Rhinolophus ferrumequinum: one gene and its partners. The main gene of each other region encodes a partner of the protein of the gene in region 3 in a complex. Links are inferred from orthologs where the notes say so. Each region holds a gene or a part of one and is shown on either strand. Other genes may lie near its edges.

The links. The genes of interacting proteins can lie anywhere in the genome.
Region 1: the proteins of YWHAZ (region 3) and CDC25C are in contact, whole or in part, in a crystal structure (PDB 5M36), measured with the Homo sapiens proteins. The link is inferred for Rhinolophus ferrumequinum from reciprocal best matches to the Homo sapiens genes YWHAZ and CDC25C. Residues at the interface, in NP_001129171.1 of Homo sapiens: Lys11, Glu14, Gln15, Glu39, Val46, Lys49, Asn50, Arg56, Arg60, Val61, Ser64, Lys120, Arg127, Tyr128, Glu131, Gly169, Leu172, Asn173, Val176, Glu180, Asp213, Leu216, Ile217, Leu220, Asn224, Trp228; in NP_001274511.1 of Homo sapiens: Gly210, Tyr212, Arg213, Ser214, Pro215, Ser216, Met217, Pro218, Glu219, Asn220, Leu221, Asn222, Arg223, Arg225.
Region 2: the proteins of YWHAZ (region 3) and PRKCE are in contact, whole or in part, in a crystal structure (PDB 2WH0), measured with the Homo sapiens proteins. The link is inferred for Rhinolophus ferrumequinum from reciprocal best matches to the Homo sapiens genes YWHAZ and PRKCE. Residues at the interface, in NP_001129171.1 of Homo sapiens: Asn42, Ser45, Val46, Lys49, Arg56, Lys120, Arg127, Tyr128, Gly169, Leu172, Asn173, Val176, Glu180, Leu216, Leu220, Asp223, Asn224, Leu227, Trp228; in NP_005391.1 of Homo sapiens: Lys365, Ala366, Leu367, Ser368, Phe369, Asp370, Asn371, Arg372.

The regions. Positions count from the first base shown.
Region 1 is NC_046307.1:13,418,543-13,426,015, forward strand, and holds the start of CDC25C (M-phase inducer phosphatase 3), read right to left. Parts: upstream 3,001-7,473; 5' UTR 2,787-3,000; exon of another isoform or gene 2,763-2,786; intron 2,361-2,762; exon of another isoform or gene 2,345-2,360; 5' UTR 2,329-2,344; coding exon 2,135-2,328; intron 1,405-2,134; coding exon 1,295-1,404; intron 597-1,294; coding exon 551-596; intron 1-550. Other genes in the region: oocyte-specific histone RNA stem-loop-binding protein 2-like, read left to right, coding at 4,429-4,469, 4,574-4,678, 5,354-5,506, 5,649-5,769, 6,515-6,646. UniProt on the Homo sapiens protein: Functions as a dosage-dependent inducer in mitotic control. Tyrosine protein phosphatase required for progression of the cell cycle. When phosphorylated, highly effective in activating G2 cells into prophase.
Region 2 is NC_046296.1:39,789,441-39,797,427, reverse strand, and holds the start of PRKCE (protein kinase C epsilon type), read left to right. Parts: upstream 1-4,987; 5' UTR 4,988-5,121; coding exon 5,122-5,469; intron 5,470-7,987.
Region 3 is NC_046297.1:42,633,621-42,640,974, reverse strand, and holds the start of YWHAZ (14-3-3 protein zeta/delta), read left to right. Parts: upstream 1-4,341; 5' UTR 4,342-4,693; intron 4,694-5,019; exon of another isoform or gene 5,020-5,158; intron 5,159-7,354.

The DNA.
Region 1 (7,473 bases), on a different chromosome or scaffold from region 3:
TAAAATGCTTGGGAGGTGCTAAGGATTAAATTTTCATTGGCTAAAGGATTAAATGAAAACTTAATCCTCACAATAGCTGTTTATAAGAAGTGCTGTTATTATCCCCATTATTATTGTTTCTTTATCATTAATAAAGAAACTGAGGTGCAGTGAAGTAAAGAAACTTGTCAGGGTTACAGTTGGTGAAGTACTAAGCCACTGGAATCCAGACACTGATTTCAGAACCTACACTCAGCACTTTTAACCACTAAGATACTGCACTACTCACATGCATGTAACAGCGTATAGCTAAGTGCAGTATATACCATTTTCCTCCATTTTTAAAGATAACACTGATGGTGTGTGATGGTTAAAATGAATAGCCCTCATTTTCATGACACTATTTAGCTCTGGGAAACTTAAAAACCTTTCAAGGGAAAGACCTAGGCCTCCAAGCTAATTATACCCAAAGTGAAATGTTCTATACTCTGCTGAGATTGCATAGGATAAAATCCACCTGCCAGTGCCGAAAAGGCTTTAAGCATGAGGTCCATTTAACAAAAGAACTCACATCAGAGCTAACTGTATTTCCTGAGGTCCTGAAGAATCCAAGTGACCTGCAATCAGATATGAAGTTATTCTTGTCCATGCATCCTGTCTTTCCTTCTGATTTTCTTTATTACCAGTAAGCCATATTAATATCAAAAGCTGACTTTTTGAACACCATGGTTTTTGATAGCTATTAATTTCTTGGTACAAGGTATAAATTAGTAGAATCTTAGGAATTTGCATGTATCACTTAAAGAAAAAATGCTGGGAAACTACTAACTTACAGAGATTTTTCTTTTTTCATGAATAGAAAAGTATGCTTACCACTCAGGAAATCTGAAATTAGAACAAATACTAAAATGGTTTACTAGTAAAAAAATTCCTTTAGGACTGAGACCCTATGAAAACACAAGAATTAGCTGACAAAGTATTTATGTAGGTTTCTTTGCCTCTGCTAAGATTACACTAGGGTATAAAATTCCTCCTCTTAACTACTACTTTCATTCCCATCAATCAGTGAATTTCAATTCATACCATCAATCAGTCAACACAGTATACCTTCCTGTTCTAATTTTTCAAATGCAAAGTGGCTCCTATTAATGTTATTATCTTTCTCTTCCCGTTGGCTTGATCATTCTCCTCAAAAATCTTATAGGTACCCACAGACTTCCAACTTCAAGGCTCTCTATTTACTTTTATTACCTTCCATCTATAGCCTACTACCCTGTCCTCTCCCTTAAAAGTTATTCTTTCCCTTGACCCTTACCATCCTTCTCCCTACCAGTTTCATCAAGGTGTACAGAAGTGGTAAGCTGTGTGGCAGACATCTCCCCACTGCTAAGATTCGAAAGATCAAGGCAACATTTTGGGGTTCCTCTGTTGAGACATAATAGTACATCAAGATTCCCATTAGGATGTAATATCCTTAAAAGGCAAAAATCATGTTATCCTCTTCATTTGAAACAACCCTCAATGACTCTCATATAATCTGAACAGTGTCCAGATAAATCTGCTTTTGGAAATATTTCAGACTACGCTGAGAAAAATCTCCCACCTTTTCTCTACTCCAACAATCTGTATCTCATTTTCTCCTCACCAACATATGGTATTGAGACAGTATAATTTTTTTTAAATGAAGACCAAAGTTTATTAACAGAGGTGGGTATTGACCCCACATCTTCTGTCCTGTGCACCATAAGAACACAGACTTGATTTCTCCCTGGAGTCTCTAGTACTTCTCATGTCTACAACCCTCCAATTTTGATTGCTAGCTGAGAGTCAGGGTATGGCATGATCGGAATTTAAAGTACAATAACAATACCACTAATATTAATACTAATAAAGGGACCAACGCATAATGCAATAGAGTTTTCAAAGACTTTTCCCAGACATCACATCATTTGATTCTCACAAGATCCTCGTGAGATAGGAAGAGATGATAATTTCTATGTCACAGAAAAGAAGCCTGAGAGTCAAAAGGGTCACACGGTTAGTCAAGGGCAGAGCTAAGACTTACTTAAACACTGATCTTTGAGCCAGAATTTTATTAAAAACTCATTAACTGTTTAGAAAAGCAAAGGAGCGAAGGTGAGAAAAGTAGATTTACCTAGACAAAATGCTTAGGTTTGCAAAATCACCAAAAAGTTTGTCCACTGGAGTTCTAGGAAGATCTGGACAGATGGTAAAGGAAGTGTTTTTCTCCAGGAGCAGGTTTAATATCTTCCTCTGATGGGACCTAAAACTGGGTCCTGACTCAGGACTTCCCTCTTCGCTTGTGGATGAAAGGAGATCGGCAGACATGGTCTCCGAGTACACACTGAGAAAAAAAATAAAAGCTAGCTAAGAGGAGGACATCATCTATATACATACATCACAGATCGTCCATAATATAATATAATATATAAGCAGCGGCCAAGCGGTCAGTATTTTTAGGAGGGTCATCCCCAAACGATGACAAAACTTGGCTTGAAGGTTAACTTGCCTGAAGCGGCTTGGCCTTTTCGTTGGAACCTTAATTTAACGAGAGGTAACCCCAGGACTTTAACCCCAGGAAATGAAAAAGGGGGCTTTGTCTTATTCGGGGCCACACAGCTCGTGACTCCTGACCGGAAGGAACTCAGGTCTCCTAACTCTAGACAATGCCAATTAGGTCCCCTAAACTTCCGTTTGTGGGGCCCCGACGGGGCTCTGGGGTGACAATGGGGTGATTCAGGCGCAGACAGCTCCGGGCTTACCTCAGGTTTGAGTCTGAGATTTACCTTCAGGAGGAAGGGAAGTGGATGTAGATGGGGTCAATCACAAGCGAAGACCAGAGCAGAATTAAAGGTAATCTGGGGAAAGGTGGCAATTAACCAGACTACAATTCTGCTTTTTCACTGGGTAGGTCGGAGTCAGACTTTGCCGCTTCTCTCCTCAGAGGGTCGAAGCCTCGGAGCAAGAAAATAAACAGCCACAGGCCTTGACCATTCAAACCTTCCGCCCTCCCAATAACCTATCCCGCTCGCCTCTAAACTGCGTCAGCCAATCTCCGCACGCCCGCCCAGAAACCCCTCGGCCAATCGTTTGGCTGGTATATCAACCGGAGGCGTGAACTTGAGCTGGAAGGAACACAATTTGCCCCGCCTCACAGCCAGAGCAGAATGCCGACTGGCCCACTGGCGTTCGGCAAGGGGTTTAGTAAGCCCCGCCCCACACGGAGCCTGGCGCACCATTGGCTCTGCCTCTGGCCAATCGCCACACCCATCTTGAGCTCTCCCTTTGCTCAGCCCCTTCGTCCCCGGGAGATTTAAATTGCACTTTGCTCCGCGGTCCACTCGTTAGGTTAATACCTGAAGACATTAGTTTCGATACAAGGGTGTTTTATGCGTTTCTTTTTCCTTGGTTCTTTCTTGTGTTGTTACATGGACCTTTCCCTCTTAGTTTGCTAGCCTTCCGCTGGAAGTGGAGCATTTGTCGCCGGTGTGGCAGATGTGGCGAAACAGGTGTGTGTGTATTTATGCTAAACGGCATTGGCCCCTTCCAAGAGGTTTCCCTGTTGGGTGTCCCTTTTAACGCACAGCATCTCTGAGATGCTAGGTTATGTGAGTAAAGGAAATTCCTTTTTACGGAAAGCAGGGGAGTTGAATCATCTGTTGGCACAATCCTCATCAAAGTCCAAAGGATCCCAAACTTTGGTTGTTTATGGAAATTTGAACATTGGCTAGGTGATAGTAAGAATTTATTCTTAATTTGGGGGATTTGCTTTTAAGTAATCCTGTGGTAGTGGTGGTGGGTATAGACCAAACAAGACTGGCCATAATAATTGGTTGATGGGTAACCGGGGGTCCATTATGTCAGTTCTCTTAAAGTTTAGGCTGCATACTAATCACCTGGGGGATTTTGTTAAAATACAGATTCTGATTCAGTAGGTCTGGGCTGGGGCCCAAGATTCTTTACATCAAACAAGCTCTCAGCTGATGCTGATGCAGCTGCTACAGGGACCATAGTTTGAGTAGCAAAATATTATGCTATTCTCTTTACTTCTCTGTATGTTTGAAATTTTCTATAATTAAAAAAAAAATGTTTAAAATAATCTTGGGAGCTCTTTAAAATACAGGCCTCCAAAATGAAGATTCAATAGGTCTAGAGTGTGGCTGAGGAATTATCAAGGTCCCCAGGTGCTACCCCTGCAGATGGCTTGCAGACCACACTTTGAGAAACATATCAGAAATGCAACCTTTACCTTTTAGAAACAGTAAGTCAGAAATACAACCTTTATCTGGTGTCAGGATCTTGGTGGTGGTAGTAGTGGCTGAGAGGTGCAGTGTAGCAAGCTGGATTTTGCCCTAACACAGATTCATCTGTAGAATCTGCTTCCCCAGGAAGGAGGTGTGTGAAGATTCTTTGTCCTCTAGGATAGAGATGGTAAGTGTGGGAGTCAGCACAGAGCCCTGCCATACCAGGTGAGTGAAAATCAGGCTGGGGATTAAGGGAGGGTGGGATGAGTTGGTTTCTGCTTTGATAATTATAATCACACTTCATGGAGCCACTATATACTTCTCTGCAGGTGGGAGGTAGAGACAGATGAAATTGTCCTACAGCGGAGGCAAAAGCAGATAGATTATGGCAAGCGCACACCTGGTTACCAGTGCTTTCTGCAGCAGGTCCCCAAGTGAGTGCCCATCTTAAGCACTCCCCCAAGTTGTGCATAGTCACAATAAGAGAGTCAATCAAGTGGCTTTGGTTCAATGTCAGGTGATGGAAAGATACTAGAATCTGAGTGCTCTCACAAAATTGCAGCATTACTAAAACGAATTATCCTGCAATCTAGCCCCCAAATTAAGTTTCCAAGATTTTTTCCAAATGGAACAAGTCATACTTGGCACATAAGACTTTTTTTAAAAGTCTATCTTTTAAAAAAAACTATCCATGTTTTTGGATAATGAAGTTTTTTTCTTTCCAATCATTTTTACCTCATGCCTCCAACTGACGTGGCTAATTGCAACATACTTGCCCAATTACATGTAAATTTGCATGCATACATACAAACTAAATGTATGAAAAGGTAGAAAGTATTTGAACAGGATATCAAATACTGTCTTTTATATCTATCTTGACTTCTGAGGAAATTGGAATATATAATTTACCATTTCCAGAAGAAAGAATATTAGGGAATTAGGAAGGTGATGTTTAATCTGATTGAAGGTTTATTTTTTTCTGTTGGATCAAGAGAATTGATCATACCTTATTCTCAGAGACTCCCTAACGAGTCTCCTGTTTTACTGTGATAAGCAGTGAGCCGTGCCCCCTCACCTTGACCTCATTCTGACACATTTGTCATTGCCAGGACACAGCGACAGCCAGGACTTCACCCTCAAACACCAAACAAAAATAGGAGGTACAGTCGCCGCTCCTGGGATGCCCAGATCAGGCAGTGGAGAAGAGCCCTACATTCCTGGGATCCCCCCAGCCAACCTCTGCAGGGCACGGGGGCTAAAGGGTGTGTGCATTATTCTTGGTTCCTTTCTTGAGTGGTGGACTGAGTCCTACATCTCCCCCACTTTGCAAAGATTTAGCTTTCATTGGCTGTAAAGGAGAGTCTGAATGAAGTGCATGTTTCTCTGACTCTGCTGCCTTCCCAGGCAGGGAATGAAGAGTCTCTTAGAGCCAGTGGATTCCTCCCTTTTGAATAACCTCCTGGATGACTGGTTCCAACCCCTGGAATCTTCACAATATGGATGGAGACCAGAGGGAGCCCAGGTAGTATCCTCTGCTGAAATCCACTGGAGCAGGGTCAGAGATGGGGTCTGGTCCAGGAGGTCACAATTAAGATGGGCTTCAAGGTAGTAGTCCAAAAACAAAACAAAGAAAATGGGGCAGCAGGAAAAAATAGCATGACATGAATTTAAAAACTTGAGAAAAGTGACATAAGGAGATTTAATTATAGTTAGTAATGGGGAGTTGGGCTGCACTGGGGGCTATTTTATACTTGATGAAAGGTGTATAATTTTCCTTTGAAGTGAGGCCTGAAACTTAACTTGCGGGGCTTGTTATTTTTTAACTGCCTCAATTTCTGTCAATGTTTTGCAAATGAGCCAATGCTAACTTCTTATACTCAATCATTTTAGTAAGCATGGTTAATAATAAAAAGGGGGATCACCTAGTGGCGAAGACCAAGGGCTTTAGAGCTTCAGACTCTTTTTTTTTTTTTTTTTAAATACTACCTTTGTCCACCACATGGGCAGTCACTTATCATCTGTCAAATAAGGAGATTTTGACTCATTTGATGATTGTAAGCAAAAATGAGAATACATATTTAAAGTGTCTGGCACATAATAAGTGTTTTACAATAGCAATTATTGGAAACCATGTCTCCTGTAACTTCATGGCCCCTACCCCTGCTCCTTCTTTTCCCAAGGGCAAATGTGCAGGGCAAGGAAATGTGAAGTACATCTTCCCTTCACCCCCCCATTTTCTTAAGTACCTCACTTTCCCTCTTCTTTTCCAGTTTGCAGACTTGGTGGCTCCTGCCTTCTCCCTTCCCTGGCTCTGTGAAGAAGATCCCCACCACTGGTTCTACTTTCTGGCTGATCACAGTTACTTATCTGTCCCAGACTTGAGTGAGGCACAGAATATTTAAGGAAAACAGATGTCTTTCCGGGGCCTTGTTGCTAAGTGTAATAGTGAGGATTTACTTGCATTACTGTTACTTTCCAATTGATTAAAAGAGAAATCTAAAATCCTGCCCTACAAAAGAGATCACAACAGGGAGGCATTGTTTAAAACCTCTCCTTTTTCCATCTTTTTGTCTGTCTCTCTAAATCTTCTTTGATAGCTGAGACTCAAATTTACATAAGGACCAGAAACCATCTAGCTGTTCCCCAACCTCTTCACCTACTACGGACTACATTCAGTCTCTTCAGAAAGGACTTAAACTTTGGCTGAGGTGGGAGGTGGTGGCAATGGTGGAGAGGTAATAAAAAGGTGGTTTCCTCTTCCTGAAGAGGAAATATAGCAACATCAACATCTTTTCCCCATCTGCCTGTTTTCCTCCCTCCTTCCCTCTCTTAAGGAAAGTGGTCCAGCTGTAACCACCGTACTCCCCCCACCCCCCACGCGAGCTACTGAACCGCCTATGATGTCATAATCACAATCCCATTACCTCATCCTATTGGGGGGGTGGTGCGTAGAGGGAGGAGAAGGAGTGAACAGCCCTGGGCCCTCCTCAGCTTTACTAAGTGTTTGGGGTAAGGGCTAATTACAGAACCAAATGGAAATGGCCCCGCAACTGTTACAAGTCCTGGATTTATGAGGTTCGAGCCGATCCGGCCACTGGAAGAGGGGCTCCTGGGACACAGAGCAGGCCCTAATCGGCGCTTGGACTACACTTCCCAGAATCCTTCACGTCACGGACGGGTCCTCTGCTGGGGGAAGGGGGATTCCTTCAGTGAGGTGGCCCTAGAAAGC
Region 2 (7,987 bases), on a different chromosome or scaffold from region 3:
TGCATCTGATCCCTCCACCTCCTTGCAGGTGTAAGGGAAGCTTGGTCTCTGGGTCATTGCAACAGTTCAGAGAAGAGATGGGGCCAAAATAAGACAAGGCGGGCATATGTGAGCCAACAAGAGGGTGGGCCTGGGGACCTGGGGTGGGGTTAGAAGTGGGGCTGGGGTTCAGGTGGGGCTAGGCTGGGGCAGGGCTACGCTGACAAAACTCTGAAAGGTCTTCGTGCCCTTGTGGAGCTGTGCATTCCATCCATGGCCCAGGTGATTGAATTCTGTTCCACCGAGCACGTGCGGAATGTCTGACGGGTCCTGACCAGGCAGACCTTTGCAGAAGCCACGAACGTTCTACAAATGGCAACAATCAGCACAGGAACAGGACATGAATATTCACATGCTCGTCTAATGTTCTGACGCCCCCTCCCTACTTCTTGTAGCCCATCTAAACAATATCCACAGACTTCCATTTTTGATCAGATGGAGTGTAAATCACCTTCAGACTTGGGTCTTCTAGCTAACATCCTGTTTTGGGGTGAGTCTTCTGGGAGAAAATTGCAGAACAGAAATATATCCATCCCCACAAATTTGTCTTTTTAAAGCATTAATTCAAGTTATGCTGCTCCCCCACTTTAGAATGATCAGTGTCTCTCAAGAAAAGAGTTCAAACCCATTTTCAGGTTCTGTGAGGCCTTAATTACCCAGTCCGACCTACGTCACTTCTTTTCACTGCCTGCCACACACCAGGTACACCTGGTCACTTACTCATCCCAAACAGTCATGCTCTTATCTACCTGTGCTCTGCACACTGCTCCCATTGCCTCCAATGCCTTTCCCTCTCCTCTTTACCTTTGGAGGAACTCCTCTTGGAAAGCCTAGACCTTCTGGGTGGTGCTTTCCCAGGCAACCCCAGGCAAAGGGCTGATCCTTCCTCTCTACTCTCCTAGAGGTGCACCCCTACGTCTACAGCAGCGCTTATCACACTGCCCTAGGGACTGTTACTCTTTCAGTCCTTTTCCCCCATAAGCCTTAATTTTAAAAGGAGAAAAGCACCATCTTGATCATCTTTGTAAAATTCTTATATCATTTTTCTTCCTTTCCTCTTCCCTCTCCCAAAGATTACAAATGATTAAGCCATAGTTGGGACCGAAAGGGCATTTTACTCAATGTCTACATCAATGGCAGTCCTGTCTTTAGGGACTATATGCAGGGGCCAAAAGAAGGATAAAATAGACAATAATTATTGATTTGAATTTTACATTTTAAACCTTCTTCCCTGCAAAGGCTTCTTTTTCTTTTCACAAGAAATCTGGAGCAGAGTTATTTTAGACCAGTCCCCTCCCGGGGAAATATACAGGTTCTCCCCTAAACAAGCTCACATCTGGTAGTTCCATGGTACTCCTGGAGAATACATACATATTTTCATTCAGCCAAGTTTGAGAGTAGGGAGGCAACAGATCTATTTAGAAATCAGGATGTAATAAGGGCAGGAAATCAGCAATGTTTGCATGTAGAGTACCAGCATTCTCTCTTTTTATTTAAATTTTCATCCAATACAAAATAGGCAGTTGGGCCGGTTTTCAGTTCCCCTACCTCCCCTCCGCCCCAGACAGAAAGACTTGTTATTGAAAGAGAAGTCACACTGGTTTTGGTTGCACCTGAGAATTGCAGTCTGATTTCGCACATGTGTAACTAACAGCCTGCCTGAGACCTTACTCGGGTTGCAAGAAAATGGCATTGGAAGTTTGTAGGTTATGGGTTTTAAGAATGCCCACTCATGGCGATGGCAACAGGTTCTATTTAATATACTTGGGCGGGGAGGGAGTCTTGCCTGGGAAGGGGGGATATGATATGCAAAAAATAAGCTCAGCGTGTCCATAGATGTAAACTTATTTCCTGTTTAACAAACTAAAGAGGAAGGATTTTGGCCAATATTTTTCAATCCTTCTGCATGGTAAGTCTCAGATTTATGTTACAGATTACTGCAAAGATCCCTAACTTCAGAAATACTTGCTTTTCCAGACTTCCCAACAGGGCCAGGGTTAGGGAGAGTCAAATGAACGACTTATTTTGGGTACAAAATTTCAGGGGTGTCGAAAAACTTAGTAACATAAATAATATTTTAATGCAATATTTAAAATTATTTAAAATTTGGGTATGTTCATGCTGGATTTTTACATTTTGTTTTTTTTCAAAATACTGCATTCAAATATTATTTGTCTTGATTACCGAGTTTATTGGTACCCTTTAAATTTTGTCTCTTTGTCAGGTATCTCTCACTCATCTCAGTATAGTGCTGGCTCACTTTCCAAATGCATTTTCAGAAGATCAAGACCTATTCGCCATTGCGTTCCATCACTTGCCCGGTGAAGGGAGGAGGAAGTTTAAGGACAGAATGGTGGAAGTAAAAAGCAAGGAGGAAAAAGTTCTGATGATCAAATAAATAAAAATTAAACAGCAGTGAGATATCCCACTTGTGCTTTGTCAAACTGGCAGATTCTCAAATATAAGCCCCAGCTGGTGGGAGTGGTCTAGTGAGGACATAACTTTTATATCCTGACTTTTTCTGTGAACCATCTCATTTTATGTGAACCACCTACATTTTAGCACTCTCTTTGCCCACCTGCCCCATTCAACAAGGTGAGAGTAGGCTGCCAGAAATTACTTGGAAGCTCCGGAGAGCAGCGACTACCTTAGGAGACAGACGACCTGCCACAATCACCTTGGAACTTCTCTGGTGATTTTTGCGACCTGTGTGCTGCACTCGGTATCCTACAGGGGACTGCTTTCTTCCTCGCCTTTAAGCCTTTAAACCACAGGCAGTGATGAACTTTTTCCGCTGAGAAAAAGGGATCGAGTGGTGGGTTTTACATTTTCGTCTACACTAACCGGTCCCGCCAGATAAACACTCAGCTTACGGATTCCTACAGACTCTCTGACTTGACTTGGCACTCGGGTGAGAACCCAGGTTTTCTTTTTCCATTTGTTCCCCCCCCAACCCCCAACCCCCTCACCGCGTGGGGCTCACAGGTTGCGGAGATGACCTCTTCCCGGGGCAGTCCTCCGGGTTTTCCAACCCAGGCCGCGCCGTGGGCCTCCGCGCTCTCCGCCCCGCCCTCCCAGGTTCGCGTCCCACGGCGCGGGGCAGTCCCTCGCGCTGCCGCCTTCCCGGTCCCCGGCTCCTGGCGAAGGAAATTCTTCCCCAGCAGCCTAGGGCTCGCCTCACGTGACCAGCCGCCGCGGCGGCTTCCAGAGAGAGTTTAAAGGTTACGGAGGAAATTAGCACTGACACAGGCACTCCCCCCACACCCCCGCAATGGAGAGCGCGCCCCGTTTTCCCGCAGCTAAGACAGCCGCTGTCAGCGCACTGATCAGAGTCATGTCCCCCAAAAGAGTACAGACAAGGTCCAGAGTAAATATGAAGTTACTTTGTAAAAAATAAACAAACCAAGACGGGGTTCTACTAAGCTTTCACTTGTCAACAAGTTCTCGCAGCCTGAGAAGTCCGGGACAGATCCCAAAGGGAAGAATGCCCCAAAGAAAGGGAAGAGAGAATAAACGTGTAAAAACTCACACCGAGCCTTGCACGCCCTCCCTGTCCCCCTCCCCCACCACCGTGGAGCCCAGCGTATCAAGCCAGATTGACCGACAGACAGGCCAGTACTCGGCCGGCTGCCCTGGCCTGCTACAGCCGGAGTGAGAGTGGGGTTGGGGAAGGGTCCCGAGTCTTCTCTAGCAGTGCGACCCCCGCCCGTCTCCCCCTCGCGGTTATAAAAGACAGTGTTGGCCACAGAGCCCGGGAGAGATGGGCGGCCCGCTCGTCTCGGGTGTAGAGCAAAGACCGCAGGCACCCGCACCCGGGGCCCAGTGCCGCCACTCCCCGGGATCCCACGCGGGGTCCCTGCCCTGCTCCCCCGCCCGCCGCCGCCACCAGGGCAGGCTCGCTGGCTCTCGGTCGTCCTCTACTCGGCTCACTTTTCCCGTATTGCTCCCCCAACCGGCAAAACTTTCTATTTCCCCAAACACAGGAGCGCGCGCGCGCGTGCACACACACACACACACACACACACACGCACACGCACACACACATACACACACACACACACACACACACACATTCTGACGTCTTTTGCGCATTTCCTGCATTAGAGGGAGGGAGACTCGCTCGCACACCGACGGAGGGAGAAGGGACCGAGGGGGAAAAGCGGGCGGGCAGGCGGCGAGCGAGCGGCAGCCAAAAGCCGGGACGCGAGGAGAGCGGCGGGCGGGCGGGCGCCGGCGCCCAGGAGGTGGGGCCGCGCCGAGTCGCAGTCCCGGCCCCGCCGCCGCGCTGCGCACCGCCGGGTGCCGGCCTGCGCCCGGAGCCGGAGCGGCGGCCACCCCGATTTCGAGCCCGCGCGGATGTGAGATTCCGGGCTCCTGGCGCCTCAGGATCGCCGACTGCGGCGCGGCGCTGCTTCGCCCAAGAGGCGGCGGCCAGCCTGGCGGTGGGGCTTGTGGATTTTTAAAAATTTGGCTCCGAGGAGGACCATTTCCTCTCGACATGCATCCCTCCGGATAGACTGAACATCCTTCGCTCCATCCCCCGCCCCGCGCGGTCAGAGGCAGGCGCTGGGTGTGAGAAGAGGATCCGGGTTGAAATCTGCGCCCCCGTTCTCGTCCCCGCCCCGTCCCACCGCCCCCTCGCCCTCCCGGAGTCGAAATTTCCCGGGGATTATGTTTCGGAAAGGTAGGTAAGCGCCGGGCGCGGCGCCCGCCTCCCCGCAGCCGGGACCCGGAGAGCCAGTGAGGCGGCGAGACAGTCCCCGCCGCTGGCAGCGGAGCCGACAGCTCCTCTCCTCTCCTGAAGGTGCTGCTGGTGGTAGGGGGGGAGAGACTTGCTCCTAACACGGACATTCCCCAGCTCTCCCCCCCTCCCTGTTTTCCGTTAGGAACCCGGCGAGGAAATACATGCACTCGCTGAGAATCGCCCGCTCCAGGGCGCAACGCTACAAGGTGTAGGGAGAGTGTGGGGTGGGGCGAGAGGGGACCCAGGGGTCCTCGCAGCTCGGAGCGCCGGGGCGTCGGTTCTTCATCCTGCCCACCGGGCGGACGGAGTGACCCCGGCCCCCACGCCCCGCCCCGACCATGGTAGTGTTCAATGGCCTTCTTAAGATCAAAATCTGCGAGGCCGTGAGCTTGAAGCCCACAGCCTGGTCCCTGCGCCATGCAGTGGGACCCCGGCCACAGACTTTCCTTCTTGACCCCTACATCGCCCTCAACGTGGACGATTCGCGCATCGGCCAAACGGCCACTAAGCAAAAGACCAACAGCCCGGCCTGGCACGACGAGTTTGTCACCGATGTGTGCAACGGGCGCAAGATCGAGCTGGCGGTCTTCCACGATGCCCCCATCGGCTACGACGACTTCGTGGCCAACTGCACCATCCAGTTTGAGGAGCTGCTGCAGCACGGGAGCCGCCACTTCGAGGATTGGGTGAGTCGGGCGCCTCCCAGCCAGGAGCCTGGCTGTGGGGTCGGGGTGGAGGGGACACAGAAGGCCTTGGCACTGGTCGTGGGGCGCAGGGACTTCCTGCTATTTGGGGTGTGTGTGTAGGTAAGTCACAGTTACCTTGGAGAAGCACACTCTACTTGATAGTTGGGGAGAGGTAGGCACTGGAGCAGGGAAGAGGAGACTTGGAAAGAGAGTCTGGGCTCTCTGCCCCCTCCAGACAGCGAGTGCTACCCGGAGCTTGCGAGCTGGGAGAGCACAGATCCTCCAATGCTTGAGGGCTGGCGGAGAACCTGGCGCCTTCCGCAGGCGTGTAGTGGGCTGGCTGTGTGTGATTGTGTGTGGGTGGGTTCCTCTGTCCTTGGAGAAGCACGTGGAGCCCTAGACTGAAGGCTTCTTGCACGTCCTGGCTTTGTCCTGCGTAGCTGAGTGAGGAGCTGCTTTATTTTCCCCTCCTGGAGGAAGCTAGCTCGTTTCTGTTCTGTTGCATGGTGGTTAGCTCATCTTCTGACATACAGGAAGAAAAATGTGTTCTCCTCTAGGATGTCCCCTCCAGGGTCCAAGAAACATTAGCTGAGCTTGTTTTGCCCAATGCATTGCCCATCCATCCAGAATGAGTGTTGTAACCATCAAACATGGTTCTGCTTGTAATTGGAAATCAGTGCTTTGAAACCTACTTAAAGTTATATTGTTTCCCTGTTTTAATTTTCAAGATTCTGTGCAATGACATACCATTTCGAAGTCTGAGATTGAATTAATTGATTACATTGTCAAAATATTAGGGACTTGGAAAGAGGCCTTGTCAAATGCACTCAACCTTGGCACTCAGAGAAGCAGAGAGAAGCAACCTTGTTTTAGCTGTTCTTGGAGGGATGGCGTTAAATGAGGAAATGGATTTTTATATTTTCAGATTTGTCGCATGTTTCCACTAAGAGCAGGTATGGCTCTGGGTGTATATGTTTTCAGGGTTCTTTGATTTACACAGAAAGAGAGGTATCTGCTGCTCATGGAGAGCTGTAGAGGAATCACCTATTTATTGAGAACAAATAACTTCATAATTGTCCTAGGGTCAGAGTTTGCATATGAATCACCTTGGCATATTACCTTACATAGTTTTTTAAGCAATGGAGTTTTAGGGGAAAATCAGAAAAAGTTTGTTCTCTTTATGCTCAGGGCTGTGATGTATTCTGCCCCAAACCATGGTTACAGGGATTGCAGGGAAGCTGCAACATACCACACCAGGTACAACCCTAGGAGACCTGTGACTTACAATTTGGGAAGCAGGTAAATCTTTACAGAATCCAGAGGACACAGGGCCATTCCATTCTATTTCATTTCACCAATGCCCCTTACACCTCTGCCTCCTTCCTACTACCAGAGTTCCCACTCATTCCCCAACGTCCTTTCCACACATGGCCATTACTCCTTTTACTCATGAAAGCAGTGTGTATCTGAGGGAGAGCTGAACGGAGAACTAATTTCAGAGCCAGACCTTAACACTGAAAATCTGTGGTTTTGAAGTTGTTGGTTTAGAATAGGAAGGAGAAGAGAAAAACATGACTGTGGTAATGAGGAGATGGGGATTTGTGCTGTGTATGCAGAGGAGGGAGTTGGATAGGAGGCAGAGAGCAGGTAGCATGAACAGCAGGTCTGCTGTTATCCACAAAACAGACTTGGTTGGAGGGAGAGGTGTCTGAGTGTCTCTCTTGATGCTTTCCTGGGGCCCACCCAAACTCGGGGCATATCGGGACACCAGTCCCTCTTTTGAGCACTTCCAGTGAATCATGCAGTGGGCATTAGTCTTGCTTGGTTATCATTCTGTAAGGGTCTCTAATTCATGTTGGATTTGGCTCTAGAAGAGATCATCTCGTGGACAGGCAAGTTTTACAGACAAGGATATTATGTCCCCGAGAAGCTCAGTGGGTACCTGAGGTCACATAACAGGCGAAGGATGGGTGGCTGTAAGGCCCATACCTCCTACTGTCCACCACTTGCCCAGGGGAGAACTGAGCCCCCGGCCTCCCAGTCTATGTTCCCTGTTGATCTATGTCCCATAACCCTGAATGTTTTTATTGTACGTGACAATTTAAAGTACTTTCAAAACCATCTCTTTTGCCTTAAAGCAAGTGTGAATTAAGTATGACAGGTATTAGATTGAAACACTTGAGATACAGAAAGGCTAAAGTGATAGGATGATGAATCAAATAATGGAGCCGGTTCTCTTTGCTCATCTAGTGTTGTTTTCAATGAGAGGATGCTGTGGGCATTCTGGTTCCTTCAGCCTAAGGGTGGACATGCATCAGCTGAGGTGACTGGCCCTTGGAAACAAAGACAGATTGCACCTAGGCTGACTAAGGTCACCTTTCCCATTCCTGTCAGCCATGGGACACCTACAGAATCACACTATTGGGTAGAATTCCCCAGGCTCAGGCCTCTGTGCTCTTTACCTGGCAGTGATGAAGAGATACACCCTTTGTCAGGTATGACTAAGAAATCTGGCCTG
Region 3 (7,354 bases):
GCAGCATAAGCTGACGAGTGGGCCCTCATTAAATGCTTGATGAATGTATGAAATGAGAATTTTGTCAGTTTGGCTTCCTTGTTGGTTTACATTTTTGTCTTAATCAGCATGCAAAAAACACAGTCTGTGACCAAAGTATCATAGAACATAGACTAGAGTCTGGAATGTGGGGATAGAGTTAAAAGGTATGGACCAAAAAGAATTTTTCTTTTTAGAAAAACAAGGCTAAAGTAGTAGACGAAGGAAATGAAGATGGGATCAAGTAAAATAGTAAATTTAAATTTTAGAATTAAGTGAGGACAAAGCTACTTTCCATTCTAGAAGTCAACAGATTAGTTGAGATACTTAAACTGACTTTTATCAGAAGATCAGATTCCCTGTTCTTCTCTCACTTCATTTCTTACCAACCCTCCCCATTTTTCTTTTCCATTTTCTTTTTTTAAAAACACCTTTCTTATGCATTGGACTTGCCAGTGACATCTAAGGACCTTACAGTGCTAGGTGTCATAGCAGATAAACCCTAAATCTCAGTGGCTTAAAAATGGAAGTTATCCCTCAGTAAAGTCTAAAATGATTGAGGCCGGCTTTCACAGGTTTTCAGGTGCCCAGGTTCCTTTCATTTTATGGTCCCACCCTCCTGTAAAGCTTTGGAATGCTCTCCATTTAGCTGGCAGAAGAGGTCCATTCAGGGACCACATGAAGGTTCAAACAAGGAGGTTTTCGTGGACCCGGGCCACAAGTGGAGCACATCACTTTATTCATATCCCAGTAGTTAGCACTCAGTCACATGACCACACCTGATTGCAAGGGAGACTGGGCAATGGAGTCCAGCTCTGGTTCTGATAAAAAATGGTTTCGATGAATAACTAGCCTGCCTCTGCCACTAACTCCAAGTAATTCCAACAATAGGTCATCACGATCTAGAGTACTATGTGTAGCCCTCTCCTCACTTTCTCAGTTAATCCTTGCAATAATCTGACGAAGTTTGGTGTTAGTACTGTATGTCCAATTTAGTAAACTAAATGGCTCAGAATTTGCTCAGAATGACAAAGATTTGTACCCCATTTTGACTCTAAAAGCCCAAGGCATTATGCTGTATTTCTTCAAGTAAATCATAATGTTGAAGTGAGATTATAACCTGAATTGCGATTAAAGTCAAAATATCATGTTAACTGCCACATCATCAATACAGTCCATCCTTTGTGATGTTTTTCTAATTGGAATGATGGACTTAGGCCAATTTACCTGAACTCTTTCCTATTTTAATGTATAGCATTGATCTGAGTGATCGTTGCAGTCCCCAGTACAGAAACGCAGTGATGTGCACTGTCTCACTGCTTATGTCTCAGACTAACACAAATTTGCCTTTCCAGAGTGAACCTCTTTATACCTCACACTTCTAAGACATTTTAAATATAGTTTTATTTTATCTTCACAACCCTTTGAAAAGTAGAGACATCCAATATATCCATTTACAAATGAATAATAGCTGAGCTACTTTGTGCAAAGAATGGTATTAAGCATTGTATGTTATATGTTAATATATAGATATAATAAATATATGTATATTACTTCACTTAATCCTCAACACCACTTCATGTTTTATTACAAGTATTTTATTTATTTATTTTTTAAAAGATTTTTACTGGGGAAGGGAAACAGGACTTTACTGGGGAACAGTGTGTACTTCCAGGATTTTTTCCAAGTCAAGTTGCTGTCCTTTCAATCATAGTTGTGGAGAGCGTAGTTCAGCTCCAGGTCCAGTTGCCGTTGTTAGTTGCAGGGGGCGCAGCCCACCATCCCTTGCAGGAGTCGAGGAGTCAAACAGCACCCTCGTAGTTGAGAGCCCATTGGCCCATGTGGGAATCGAACCGGCAGCCTTTGGCGTTAGGAGCACGGAGCTCCAACCACCTGAACCACGGGGCCGTCCCCTATTACCAGTATTTTATTGATGTGAAAATCAAGAATAGTTAAGCGAAATCAATAGTTAAGAAAATCAAGAAGGTTAAGCGACTTGATTGAGGCACCAGAGATGAGTGGTGAATAAAACAGGTCAGGCTACTTAGTGAAAGTCTTATAATTTTCCCAGAGTTCAACTTCATAGGTTCTACTTATTCTTTGTTTTGCTTTTATCCTTGTCACATATTATTCCTATTCCTCAAAATACTTATCACTTCATGGGGCTTTCATGACATTCTCTATTTTTGTTTCCCGGCAACTTCATTCATTACACCATTAATCCATAAACATGTTGATTTGAGTATATAAAACCTAACAGCTCTTATAGTTTCACTAAACAATGCCTTGCTATTTAAAGCATGAAGCAAAAACCTAATTTAGTTGTTTCCTAAAGTAAATCCACTGCTTATGAAGAGAAATTCCTTAACGTCCTCTAAAATAAAAAGTATGTATTCTATCTATACATATATTTGAGATATTAAAGAAACATCAATTCCCATTTTAAGAAAGTTTTAATTTAATATCTTCTATCAAATTTCTGGTGCCTACCACAAAACCAGAGACTTAAAAAAAAAAGAGAGAGCATTAAAAATGTGAGTCATTTTAAATGAGTCACTCCCAAAAAGAAATTACTTGGGAGTCAAAGAAAGTTGACTTTACTATCTCAGAAATTAAACCCCAATCAACTTGTTCGTCAGTTCAGCTTACTATGAATCTGTGGTGATGTGGAAACTTGGGGGAAAATAAAAACCACTGAAATTTAACTGGTCACTGAAACATCCTTCCTGGTTTGTACTTTATTATCTAAATGCTAACTGGAACTTCAGGCAAAAATGTCGTTTGTAGAACAGTTTTGTGGCACAGACATTGTATCCATCAAACAGAACAAGGTGCTCAAAGATTGAGGACTCATTTTGCCTGCTACTGACAAATTCAAACCTCTGCAGAACTTGAGGCTGAAATCTTTTGTGAGGCTCCCTTGTGAATTGTGCCTAAAGCAGGTCCCTAGAAGGTGCTCAGTAAAGATATATTGGAAAAAATCAATGAGACCAAGATGGAATTTACACAAGAGTAGTGGAAGAGTTGAGTTTCTCACTGCTAACTATATACTCTCGATGACTTTTGCAACTGGTTTTGTAGGTCATCCAAGCACTAATCTTTTCATAAGCTGTATCACAATTAGAGGCAGAAGGGGCAGAGCCATTTTACACTGTGAATGTATCTCTCTTAACTTCCTGAAGTTGACTGGGTGGAGGCCCTACAGTTGAAGGTTGGCAGGTTTGTGCGGCACCGGCACCCGGTCCTTCCTTCCTTCTCTTCCCCTCTCTTCCTGGCTCCTGATACGTCCTCGCCCTACCAGCGGCCCACTCTCACTGACGGCTGGGTCATCCCAGGCCCTGGGAGCTACCACGTGCTTCAAACCAAACCTTACTTGGGGAGAAACAAAAGGATCTTTACGTTTTAAATCACTGCAGCATGAAGTCTTCAAGTGAAAGCTTTATTTGGGTATTAAAATCTAACCTCCGAGGAACGAGTCAGTGCCTAAGGCCTTCATGATCACCCCAAACCCTACATGTAAGGCGGTCTTTTACTCTTGGGAGTTACAGGCTTTCTGAACGCGGCGGCGTCTCCTTCAAAGCCTCACCTCCCTCTAGCTCAGCCCGCCCAACCCACCACACCCCCACTTCGCGCCCAACCATTGTCCCCTCGCAGCTGTCACTGCACGCCGATCCAGGGCTCCGGATTGGAAAACCTTCCCGTCACTCAGCTCATACTCTGGGGCCGGACGCCACACTCCCTATTCTGAGCCTTAAAAGGTCTAAGGCCACGTTCCCGGAGCCAGCAGCAGGTAAAGCCGCAGCGGCGGAAGGGAGAGGCCCTTCTCGCCCAAGTCGGGCCGGCCAGGCGGTGGAGGGGGGTGGGGGGGAGCGGCGGACCCGGGATAGCGCGCCTCACCGCCCCTCCCTTACTGTCTGACCGCGACCTGTCCTCTCCCCCCGCTCCTGCCCCCAGCCTCAAATCCCGATTATAAAGCGCAAACCGCGGAGCCACTCTCGTAATCCCGCCCCCGGACCGCCCAGTGGGCAGCTACGACCGCGTAGCACGGAGGGCGGGGAGGGCCAGGCCGCAGGGAGGGGGTGGGGAGGAATGTGAAAGGTCCCGGATGTTGCTGAACCGGAGCCCCTTCGGGAATGACTGGCGCAGGCGCAGAAAGACCTCACGGAAAGCTAAGGTGGGGGTGGGGAAAATTTTCATTCTCGCACGTTTAGAAGAGTGAGCTGGCGGAGGTGGCAGGGAGTCAGAGGGGAAGGCGAAGTAGGGGGGTAGTGGTGGGGAGGGGAAAAAAAGGTGATTCCTGCCCAGGCGCCCTCGAGGCTAAAGTAGAGAAGTTGGAAGCTAAGCAGACCGGGGAAGAGGGTTGGTAGCGGGAGAGAACGCGCGCTCCTCCGTTCGCCCTCTAGCGCGGGCGGGCAGGACGCGCGCGTTAGGGAGCGGCGGTTGCGCTGGGCCCCCCGAGCTGTGGGCACCAATCAACGGTTGCTATAGCAGCGTTTGACGTCATCGTGCGTCTGGTGCCCCTGCTGCCGGGGCTGGTGATTGGAGGAAACCCCGTGTCTGCGGAGCGGCTGTAGCCTGTGAGCAGCGAGATTCAGGGACAGAGTCTCAGCCTCGCCGCCGCCGCCCAGAGACTGCTGAGCCCCCGTCGGTCCGCCGCCACCCACTCCGGACACAGGTAAGGGATTCGGCCGCCGCCGCCTCGCCCCACTCCTTCCTGTCCCAGACCAGTCTTCCGAAAGCGCGGGGGATGTCCCCGCTCCACATCCTTTCAGCCCTTCTCGCCCCGCGGTAGCGGCGCTGGGCTGAGGCGGAGTCTCTTCAGGCAAAGACGGGCGGCGGCTTCTCTTCCGCTGGACTCGGGCTGCTCGCGGCTGCCGCGGGCTACTTGCTTCCGGATCGACGCCTCGGCTGGGATAAGCTCCCGTTGCCGATCTCCGTCCCCGGGGGTGGAAGGGGCGCCCACAAGCGAGATCCCTGGGGACCTGCCCGGTCGCCGGCTCTCTGGTGTGGTCGAGGCACCACTGGCCGCGATCCGTTCCCATCGTCACCCCTGTCCCAAAGCCCCTTCCCCCTCGCCGTCCCGCTCCTCGCTTCCGCACTAGATAATGACTCGGCGGCTGGGGGCATTGCAGTGGCGCAGGTGAGGCCGCCCCCTCCCCGCGGTCCTCCCCTCCCCCCCGCCCCTCGGCGCAGCCTCCGCGCCCCGCGCTGCGGCGGCGGCACCCAGCCCTCCCCCACCCGAGCGGGAGGGCTGGGCCTGGGGCTCGGGCCGCGCGATTCGAGGCCGGCCCGGAGGCTCCCGCCAGGTAGACTAGGGAGAGGCCACGCTTCGCGCGCGCGCGCGCGGGTGAGCCGGCTCCGGGTGGGGCTCGCCTGAGACGAATTTCCTGGGTTCCGCGGGGTGGAGAGCTTGAATTTTCCGGGGTGTGGTGGGGGATGGGGTTGGCCTTTTCTTGTGGGGAAAGAGGGCTCCGACCGAGCCCAGGTAGGGGTAGAGAAGAGGATGGGCAAGACAGTGGGCCGGTGTCTCGCTCGCCTAGCTAGGGGGCTAGAACCGGAGGGGCCCTGCGCTCGGTTTTGAGGCTCGTACCCTGCTCCGCGAGGCGGGGAAGCCAGAGCGTAACAGCCGGCGGTGGCTCGGCTCGCCTGGGTGTGGCTCTTGTCCCCCTCCCCCTCCTGCTGCAGCTGTCGGGCCGGTATAGACTAAATGAGTACCAGCGGTGTCCGGTGGCGGACTGGACGCCGGTGGGAGAGTGGGGTGTGTCCGCGAACCGGCTGGTCGTGGTTCTGCTTCTGTGGGCAGCGCTGTCGTCTCTGCCCCCGGGGCTGGCAGTCCCTCGGCTCCCCTCGGCTCGGGAGGGGGCGCGCTGCTCCTCCCTCCTGCTCTGGTGGGGGGAATTAATACTCGGCGGTAGGTTGGGCTCCTTGACACAGATCCGCCATGACAAAGAGGGAGAGTCGGGGACTTGTGCGGAGGCACTAGCTTGGGCGGAGCCAGGCGGGAGTTAACAGCGCGGACGGAAGGATTTGCGCTCTAAAGTCACGGTCGGCGGGGTTACGATTCGCCCAACCCGACGTCTTACGTCGGTTAAGGGTTAAATGGGTGCGGCGAGCCTTCTCTGCAATATAGAGGCGAGGCCTTGGAACACTAGTTATTTATTCTATGAAAAACCGACTCCACTTGTAGTACCCGAGGGTTTGGGGAGAGAAACCTTTGTACCGGTTTTAGATAATTTTTCGTTAGAAGCAGCTTTAACCTGAGAGCGTTTTTGAGTTCCTAGAGGAAAAATTAGTAATTTCGAGAACGGGCGGGTGGGGGTTTTAAAATTTGTAATTACAAATTTTTTCGAATTGAAATACTACACCTCACATCTAAGCTAGCTGATTACTAGCTTGAATACCGGGGCCCTGTTAGAATTGTGTGTGTGTGTGTGTGTGTGAGTGTGTGATTTTCCTGGGAAGGAAATAGATATGATATTGGGGAGTCAATTCCTATAGTGAGTAACAGTGGCTCTTCCCTTCACCGTTTAATTGGGCACTTCAGGCTGTCCATTTTCCTTTAAAATCGTTTCTTCTGTGGGATGATTGTATGTTTTAGTATCTTTCTTTGCTGTTTCAGCACCTTTCAAAAGGATATCTTTCAGGAACAGTATAACAGGAATAAATTGAAAAATCTAGGCAGCTTTAAAATGAGAGAAAGAATAAGGCCAAAAGTCATGGTAAGGGCAGCTCGAATGATAATATATTCAGTTAATTTTGACTACTAGAAACAGAATGAAGTACTTTTACATTTAAACTGGAATAATGACATCAGAAACACTGGTCACACTCGAATATACATTTTAGTGCTCACAGTAAGAGTTGAAGTTCCAGGACTCTACACTTGAAACCTATATAATTTTACTAACCAATGTCACCCCAGTAAAATTAATTAAAAAAAGGGGTGAAGTTGAAGGACTCACGGGCATATTTTTCAAACGTGTGCATATAACAAGGTACAGATAAATGAGGCCTTAGGGTCAGTTCAGTTAGATACTGATCTTTGGTGTTTTTATATTCAAAATATCTTAAAACAAGCAATTCGGTCATTTCTCCCAGAAAATTACCATTATGCTGTCAGCTGGCAAATGTTGCAGAGATCTATTCATTTGGGGTTGGGGGCTAATACCAACTAAAAAACTCCTAAAAAGAATAGATATTAAGGAAGTAAAAAAGACACAAATTGCACATTAAACTGACATGAATCATGATTTGGGAAGTATGAAAAGAATTGTAATGTTCTTCCTAAGTAGTGTTTTCACTAAAGAAAAGCTGTTTAATATTTTATTATTTAGTG